2 linked regions of the Schizosaccharomyces pombe genome follow. The protein of the gene in region 1 interacts with the protein of each later gene in a pairwise test. Each region holds a gene or a part of one and is shown on either strand. Other genes may lie near its edges.

Region 1 (4,154 bases):
ATGGTTGTGATGCTCAATTTTATACTCAGCAGCATCTTGAACGCCACATCGAGGTCCATCGAAAGCCAAAGCCATATGCATGTACATGGGAGGGATGCGATGAATGTTTTAGCAAACATCAACAACTCAGATCCCACATTTCGGCTTGTCATACTCATCTTTTGCCTTATCCTTGTACGTATCAAGATTGTGAACTAAGGTTTGCTACAAAGCAGAAACTACAAAATCATGTCAACCGGGCTCATGAAAAAATTATCAGTTACAGTTGTCCTCATGAATCATGTGTCGGACATGAGGGTTTTGAAAAATGGAGTCAGTTACAAAATCACATTCGGGAGGCCCATGTTCCCAGTTGTTCAATTTGTGGACGGCAATTTAAAACCGCAGCACACCTTCGACACCATGTTGTACTTCATCAAACAACTTTGGAAGAAAGGAAGACGTATCATTGCCCAATGGAAGGATGTAAGAAATCTTTTACACGCTCTTCTGCTCTAAAGAAACACATATCTGTAATACACGAAGGTAATATGGCATTTCATTGTGATAGCTGTGGTACCAAATTTGGATATAAACATATGCTGCAACGACACCTGGAGCGCGGCACTTGTAAAAAAGCTCATAAACCATACATTAATGAATGTGGAATCAAACATGATGGAATAGAGGGGGTCGCAATTCACGACCAAAAAGAGAAAGAATTGAGTTCAAACTTAGTATCTGACGTGGCTAAAAAAATAATCAACGAAGTTACCGGGCATGGATATAAAGAAGCCCGAGAATACAGCTGTTCCTTTCCAGAATGCAATTACCGGTTCAAACGGCTATATGATATGCATAGACACCTTAATTCCCATCACTGAACGACGATCCTTACTTCAATTTATTCTAAAACGGAAAAGTTTAGCATAAATGTGACAAAGCCATGTTTTAGCTTCTCTTCATAATAAATTTATAAGCAACCTCTATCTTTTTTTTTGCTTTTGGTTTAGTCAATCTTTGATGTCAATACATTCTTTTAAAATATAAGAGACTCATACCTTTGAATCGTCGAATTGAATAATATAAAATTTTTTAATGCAGATTTAGAAATGCAACCTTTCATGCTTCAAATATTTTTGAATACAGGGGTTCTCTCACATTTCAAATTAAGGGTTGTTAATAAAATCTTGTAATTACAGTTAAGTAATCAATTCATATTATAAATCGTGAAGGATTTTGTCAATTGTATTCCAATATCGGAGCCGATTGACATATAGCAGAGCACTATCCCAATTTGAAGACTCCATTGCTTTCCGTATTTCATTAATTTCCTGAACTTTTCTACCCTGATTTTCTTGACTTAGCTGTAGGAGTTTCTCTGGCGAATCCCTTGAAGCGGAAATGTTTTCATGTACATCCATGATTTCCATCAAAAATTCAGGGTCACTGTTAGAAATATCTTCAGAAACTGGGTTAATTCCTTGAAGCTGGAGAATATATTCCGCTCGAGTCAATGGAGCTTTTAAGGTGTTATAAGCTTTCGATAATTCTGCAGAATCTCTTTGAGCTAAGGCAGCGTCTTTTCCCTGAGCAACATCAGGATGTAATGTTTTCATTTTTCTTAAATAGCTTGACTTTAATGCTCCCAAATCAATATCAAACGGACCTTTAGGAGGCGGATCCGAGATATCTCCTTCAAATTGTTTGTAAAAGTTTTTAGCCTCTGACTGGCATGATGAACTATGAAAATGATTATAATTAACAATTTTATTTAAAGGATAAAATTTGAAGCGAGCAAAAATCCAATGATTTCCAGTAATTTGTCGATTGAATAAACTCTTCTGTGCAAAAGAAATAAAGGGCCTAAAGCTCTGGTTTCCAGCTTGCTTTAACATTTATGATACAAAAAAAAAAGAAATTATGCAAATCCAAAGTGAATAATTAGAATTTCAAGTAGTTGAAAAAAAAAGGTATCAAGAGTTGACTTGTAACTGCTGTTGTTATTGCCAAATTTCAATAACTGCCACAACTCTTTAAATGTCATCTCAAACTTCAATATTACATAAGGAAATATAATCATTCAAAGTTAACATCAATTGTTTTTCGAAATCATCTCTTAAGAACAGTGAGATTAGTTCGGACATCTTACTAAAAAGCAGAGACCCTGGAAACCTCTGTTCCAAGCTAAATATTCCTAAAACCAAGGCAGTTCGGTGAATTTAACGTCTACATTTGAAAAATTTAAGGAAATTCTACCAATCTTTGTATTTTCAGTTTTTTTTCCTTTTTTTTTTTTTAAATATCAAATTTTGATATATCAATACATACTACAAAAGTATTATCTTTCAAAAAACTTATGAAAAACATTTTTAATATACTGCAAAAGGAATTACACATTTGGTTCTAATTGTTGTACTTTAGAGCAGCATGCCATTTTGTCAAGTGGTCGTTGGACCTCCGGGTTCTGGGAAATCAACTTACTGTTTCGGAATGTACCAATTATTATCTGCCATAGGAAGGAGTAGTATTATCGTCAATCTTGACCCAGCAAATGACTTTATCAAATACCCATGCGCAATTGATATTCGTAAAGTTCTCGATGTTGAGATGATCCAAAAAGACTATGATTTAGGACCAAATGGAGCACTTATTTATGCTATGGAAGCAATTGAATATCACGTTGAATGGTTGCTTAAGGAGCTAAAAAAGCATCGAGATTCATATGTGATATTTGATTGCCCTGGTCAAGTTGAGTTATTTACAAACCATAATTCCTTACAAAAAATAATCAAAACTTTGGAAAAGGAACTGGATTATAGACCTGTGTCCGTACAACTTGTAGATGCATATTGCTGCACGAATCCTTCTGCATATGTTAGTGCACTGCTTGTTTGCCTAAAGGGGATGCTTCAGCTGGACATGCCACATGTAAATATTTTGTCGAAGGCTGATTTGCTTTGTACGTATGGAACTTTACCAATGAAACTAGATTTTTTTACCGAAGTACAAGACCTTTCATATTTGGCGCCTTTGCTTGATAGAGATAAACGTCTTCAGCGCTATAGTGATTTAAACAAAGCTATTTGTGAACTTGTTGAAGATTTTAATCTTGTTTCTTTTGAAGTTGTTGCAGTAGAAAATAAAGCCAGTATGTTACGTGTTCTTCGAAAAATCGATCAAGCAGGTGGATATGCATATGGATCTACAGAAATTGGTGGTGATGCCGTTTGGGTGAATGCCGTTCGTCAAGGTGGAGACCCTCTTCAAGGTATTTCGCCTCAGGAAAGATGGATTGACAAGAAAGAGGAATATGACAAATATGAATGGGAATTAGAGCAAAAATCGACCATGGACGAAGATGAAAATGAAGGGTAATGACATTGAACTACTAAGGATTTGCAAATTGAATTATTTGAAAGTTGAAAGATTTTACTCAACCTTGCTTGTGTCATCTTCATCTTTTGCTACTGTGTTTTAGTTTTAAGACAATACTTTCAATCAACGGTAAACACACTTCGCAAAGTCCCATACAGTTAAATTTTGGTAAAAATTTAAAATATTGAGATAGCCTTTTTGTAAATCTCAAAAATTTAATGTATCACTTTTATAATAAACACTTTGTAAATTGCACCAAATAACATTTCTTTGGATTTAAGACTCTTTTCAAAGTAAGATAAATCTACAATGCATTTCGAAATGAAAAAGAAAAGCGGTCAACAGTACAGTAATTTACTCTTTCCCGGATGTTTTTTCCTTTCAATAATTAGTTACTTCGTAAAGTGATTGTCATACCTTTTTCTTTTTCTTTTTTTTGGATTTCTTTTTTTCAACGCGAATTGGCGATTTTGTTTCCAACACAATATCACCCATTGATCCTTGATTGGTAGAAAGTGGAGGGTCCAAAGAAATTAAGGAGTATACATTACTATTAGAAGGGTTTTCTTTGTTTTCAATATCAGCCAAACTTATTCCTTCGGGCACTTCGTCTTGGGCTACAACCATAGCTTGTAAACTAGGTGATGTAAAAATCTTTCTCCGTCTCTTATTTTTTGTAACTAAAATTATTAGCAAAAACAATATAATCAATAGCATTAACAAACCTTTTGTCACTTTATCAGCATTGAAAGCCTCATCTGACATCGACGTTTCAACATTTAAATTTTCAGGTTCTG
Region 2 (5,466 bases), on another chromosome or scaffold:
TTACAGAGACCCCCAAAATTTCACAAAACATTGATACTGGTATTACAATACCTACGCAGGCACCACTTGTTCCTCAAAGAAAGAATCTGAGACAGCATTTTCGCCCGATTGGAGATGCTGTAGGGCCTGAATCGGAACCTGAAGCTGAACCCAAGTCTGGCATCAAAGAACATATTTTACAAGAGACTGGTGATGCTACAGTAGAGGAATTACAAAATAAAGGGAAGGAAAAGCAAAAGGAATTGAAAAAGGGAAAAAGGGAAAAGAAGGATGAGGAAGAAAAACCTAAGAAGAAAAAGCAAAAGAAATCCAGCAAAAAGGAAAAAAATTAGATTGCTTGAATTAGTGTAATATTATCACCTTTTAATAGAATTCTACCTAAGCAATGTTAGCAATTGGTTTGGGAAATTGTTAAATATTTTAGAACAAAAATCTGCATCAACGGTTTGTTTTAGAATTTGTAAGGTTGCTGGAAACGCAATTTGGTAAATCAGCTTAAGACATGCATCTATTATTATTTTTGCTTCATGTAAAGACTTTTGAATAAAATCCCACCGAACATTCTTTCACATAAACCAAGGTTTTATTCGTCTAAAATCAGGCTTACCTAACTCCCTTTTATTATTTTTAGCATCTACTTGCACAGCATCGTCAAGCACAATGTTCATAAATTCGTCGAAGCCCTGTCATATATCGTTAGCAATTCATCAACTTGTCGTAGGGAAAATGAAGGTATTTCAAAATCCTAGGCCAACGACTATGAAGGGATTTTCCATAAAGTAAATTTCTTACCCTAATTTGTCCCTGAAGTCTTATATCTGTTTGTTCAAACAGCCAAATTGAAACAGGAGTATGTTGTTGCAACAATTTGAAAATGAAATTCTGCGTAAGTTAGCTATCCAACAACAATTAACCATACAATAGGAGGTATCATAACTTTTTGCACGCGTCCTGACATCTTGAAAACTTATTTTATCAAAAAACGAAATTCTATAGATGGTTGTGCAATGGTGCAGTTGGCGGCCTGTCAGCACTGACTTAGTGGATATTTAGCCAAGACCAAAAACCTCTTCAATAAATTTGTACCACATGGATCAATGTTTATCGATCCTTTATTTTTTTTTTATTTTTTTTAGATATGTAATTTGATCTTCAATAAGCTGTTTTAATTTTTTATCGACTTTCATACATACAAAAGTGTAGGTTGCTAAACTTCAATCAAAGCAGCCAAGATTGTATTGTTATTTTTATTAGACAATTTATGGACAATTCACTTGTTTAAATGATTGAGAAAAGCAAGAAATGTACTTTAGCGTGAGTAGCTACTCAGTAAAAAATGACATTAAAAAAAAACAATAAACAAGTTATCAAAGTTCAGCAAAAATTACATTAATTTAGACGATTAATATCCATAGATTCAAAAAGATTTGACAATAGAAATGAAGAAGACTGTAATGAAAATAGCCAAAATCTGATAAATATTTGGAAATCAGAATCCTTGAACAGCTCTAAATTAGGTTCTACCAGCTGCATCAAACGGATGTTTCATACATTAGATATTATATAATCCATATGTTTGCCAGTATTATTAGGAAACAGACTACTATGCGCTTTACATTGTATTTCGGATATATAAAATATAGCACGCGAAACTACTTTATGTGGCTAGAATTATATTATTATGGTAGCTATGTAAATAGCAATTGGAATACCTAAGCAAATTTTATTTTCTAACATTTGAAGTTTTTACTCTACCAAATGTATTAAAATTAAAAATCAACGTTATACTGAGACATAATGCCTTGAATGCTATTTATTATAATGATCATGGAAAACCTCCCGAATACTGTAATAAAGAGGTATAAGTTACTTGTTCCTTAAATAGGTCTTTTACTGCTACTACAGGTCTGAACCGAAACAAAAACACACGCTGCCAGTGCGTAAAGCAATCAATCTAAGTGATTTTTATGCCCTCATGGAAACGTTGTTAAGTGCTTTGGCTACTTTGTATGCCAACACTGATCGTGAGCAGAAACTTCAAGCAAACAACTACTTAGAAGAGTTTCAGAAAAGTGTAAGTCAGTCAGAGATTTGAACTGGATGATGTTAACCTGCATATTTTTAGCCTGCTGCATGGCAAATATGTTTTTCAATTTTGAATCAAGATGACAGCAGCATTGAAGCAAAGTTATTTGCCGCACAAACTTTGCGCCAAAAAATTGTATACGATTTTCATCAGCTACCTAAGGAAACACATATTGAATTTCGTAATTCCTTGCTACAGTTATTTTTAGCAGCTAAAGATAGTCCAAGACCTTTATTGGTATCATTGGCTGTTTGTATGGCTGCAATTGCTTTACATATGACTGAATGGCATAATGTTATAGCCGATGTTTTTCAAGCCTGTAGCTCCAAAGACCCCAGTGGAAGATGTGTTTTACAGTTTTTATCAGTACTCCCTGAAGAAGCTAGTGATCCAAGGAAAACTTCATTGAGTTGGGAGGAGTTATGTATTCGTGTTGATGAACTTCTTCGTGATAACGGTCCAGCAGTACTCGAGCTTCTGGTGCAATATGTCGATGCTGTCCGTGCTTCAGGATCTCCTTCGAGCGCTGACCTTGGTCTTGTTCTTACGAGTTTGATTTCCTGGTTGAGAGAAATTCCCCTTGATAAAGTTATGGCTTCTCCCTTAATTGAACTTGCTTTCCGTTCTCTGGATGATGACTTACTGTTAGAAGATGCTGTAGAATTTCTATGTGCCCTTTTTAATGAGACTAAAGATGTTGATGAAACTACTGATGCCATACTGATGCTCTATCCACGTTTACTTGAACTTCAGCCTAAACTTATTGCGGCCTGTGATGACCCAGAAACTTTTCGTGCACTAGGAAGGCTTTTTGCCGAGGCTGGTGAAGCTTGGGTTGTTTTGATTGCTAGGATGCCGAATGATTTTTTGCCTTTAGTAAACTGCATTGCTCAAGTTGCAGCTAACGATACAGAGCTGGAAGCGATTAAATTTACATTCGCATTTTGGTGGGATCTCAAACAAATGGTAGAGTTGGATGTTTATGCTGAAGCTCGTCAGCTATTTGCTCCTATATATTTAGAGTTGGTTCGTATTATTGTGCGTCACTTGCATTATCCACGAACTGAAGATTTGGCTATAAATGAGCAAATGGCTTCTAATGAAGTATTATTTGAGGATAGGGATGCTGAAGATCGTTTTCGGTCTTTTCGACATGAAATGGGTGATGTCCTCAAGGATTGCTGTGTCGTTGCTGGTGTATCTTCTTGTTTGGTTCAGATTTCTAGTCAGCTTATCAAAGTGCTCAAAATTAAGGAGTCTGGTCTTCCTTACTACTGGCAGGATGTCGAAGCTCCGTTATTTGCTTTAAGAGCCATTGGTAGAATGGTTCCTGCCAACGAGGATCAAGTCATCGGTAGCCTTTTCCAAATCCTTCCTCAATTGCCAGAAAACAATAAAGTTCGATATGCAGCTACACTATTCCTTGGTAGATACACAGAATGGACTGCGCAACATTCAGAATTTTTAGAATTGCAACTTAATTATATTTCTGCTGGTTTTGAGGTTGCAAATAAAGAGGTTCAAAGTGCAGCCGCTCAAGCCTTGAAGCACTTCTGCTATGATTGTAGGGAACAACTGGTTGGTCATCTCTCCCAATTACACATGTTTTACTTAAATGCCAAAACGTACTTAGCTCCTGACCCACTCATGGAAGTTGCCCAAGGCTTGGCTCACATCGTAGACATTCAGCCAGTTGCGAATGTATACCAATCTGTGCACAGTTTTCTTGCACCCTCACTTCAGAGTATTTTGCTGGCGCAAGTTAAGCTAAATCCCACTCAGGCAGAGTTAGAAGCACTGGCTGACAATATTGATATCGTTACGATTTTTTTGTCTCTCGTTCACCCCCCATCTCCGGCGGGAGAGCTACACCCCATTGTTCGACTTTTTCAAGACATTTGGCCGATATTGTCACGAACCTTAGACACGTTTTCCGACGTCTTAATATGCGAACGTATTAGCAAACTACTAAAAAATTTTATATACACTTTCAAGGAAAAAGCAATCGTAACGCTACCCGTTATTACAGAAGCACTTATTAAAGGATTTGAAAAAACCCAATATGGTTGCTTCTTGTGGGTTAGCGGAGCATGTGTGCGTCAATTTGGTGTGCCAGAAATGGATGAACAAACGTTAAGTGCTGTTTGGAGCTTTGTGGGGAAACAATGCACAAATATGTTTTATTACATGTCTAACAAAAACCCCAAAGAGATACCTGATGTGATTGATGACTTTTTCCGACTTATGATGGATGCATTACTAGCAAATCCACAAATGGTACTAGAGAGCCAAATGCTAGAATCTTTAATACAGGCGGCCATGATGTCTTTACAACTGGAGCAGCAGGAGCCTCTTCAAACAGTTTTAAATTTCCTACAAGACTTGCTTGCATTTGCTTTGCATACACCACCTTATTCACTTATCGAACCACTTCCTGATTCGCTTTTAAAAAGTTTAGCTGACTTGTTGCTTAAAAATTCTCAAGAACTATACATCATACTTTTTAATGGAATGGTGTTTACCTTTCCTAGAGATAACATATCAGATGCATCAGCGGTTTTGATTCCTCTTATTCGGCTAGTCTTTGCAGCTGACCCTAGCTTGTGTATTAAGTACATGTCGAATGTTTTAGATCAACTTCCGGCTATGACAATTGGACAAGAGGAACGCGAAAAGTTCCTAGCCAATTTTTCTAAGCACTGCACCTCCTCCGAAATGCCCCGGTTGCGTGCCCATCTACAAGATTGGACTGCAATGTACCGGCGTCGTGTACTAACCCCGAGGGCAAAATTAATTTCTGATGACTAATGTTGGGTCATCTATGAAAAGAAGAAAAATTAGGTAATATAATGAAATGGTACTATGGTTTGGTTGAAATGAACGTTTGGGAACATTATTAAGTTTACAGTAGAAGGAAAAACTTGAGATTTTTGCCAATGGAAGCTATAAGTTTTAGAGCACGGTAGAACATTATCAAATTCTTGTTAGCGCTTATTTTACTACTATACTGGCACAACCCATTGATCCAAGTTCGCATCGTTGTATATCAGCTGTAAAAGCAGATGTAAACATAGTGTAGATACTTACACCGAAGTCATAGGTTGTTGAGTACATAATCATAAAGTTAGTAGGAATGAATGAAAAAAAAGGAAAATTAAACAAAAGATTATTTCGTCCACCGAATTAAAAGAAATTAATCAATTCAGCATATAGTACATACAGCTAGCTAGCTATTAATTGGTTATTGTAATAGCTATCCCATATAACAATGCGCACCGTTCTACGTAAACACCTTTAAGGGATATCGTATAAATCGTATGAGTTCATTGAAAATCGTTTACATGGATAAAAAATGATAACAGCTACAATACTGAATGTTA

Evidence for each region. Proteins that work in one complex are often made in the same cells at the same time.
Region 2: the proteins of gpn2 (region 1) and mtr10 interact in a two-hybrid assay, tested with the Schizosaccharomyces pombe proteins (one large-scale study listed by BioGRID).

Annotation. Positions count from the first base shown.
Region 1 is NC_003424.3:4,666,597-4,670,750, reverse strand, and holds gpn2 (GTPase Gpn2), read left to right. Parts: upstream 1-1,997; 5' UTR 1,998-2,409; coding exon 2,410-3,357; 3' UTR 3,358-3,632; downstream 3,633-4,154. Other genes in the region: sfc2 (transcription factor TFIIIA), read left to right, coding at 1-863; DNAJ domain-containing protein Jac1, read right to left, coding at 1,200-1,877; AP-3 adaptor complex subunit Apl5, read right to left, coding at 3,712-3,735, 3,775-4,037, 4,083-4,154. UniProt on the Schizosaccharomyces pombe protein: Small GTPase required for proper nuclear import of RNA polymerase II and III (RNAPII and RNAPIII). May act at an RNAP assembly step prior to nuclear import.
Region 2 is NC_003423.3:1,764,176-1,769,641, forward strand, and holds mtr10 (karyopherin Mtr10), read left to right. Parts: upstream 1-1,909; 5' UTR 1,910-1,975; coding exon 1,976-2,074; exon of another isoform or gene 2,075-2,103; intron 2,104-2,125; coding exon 2,126-4,894; 3' UTR 4,895-4,963; downstream 4,964-5,466. Other genes in the region: DNA-directed RNA polymerase I complex subunit Rpa34, read left to right, coding at 1-332; Sm snRNP core protein Sme1, read right to left, coding at 329-378, 608-683, 793-882, 920-958.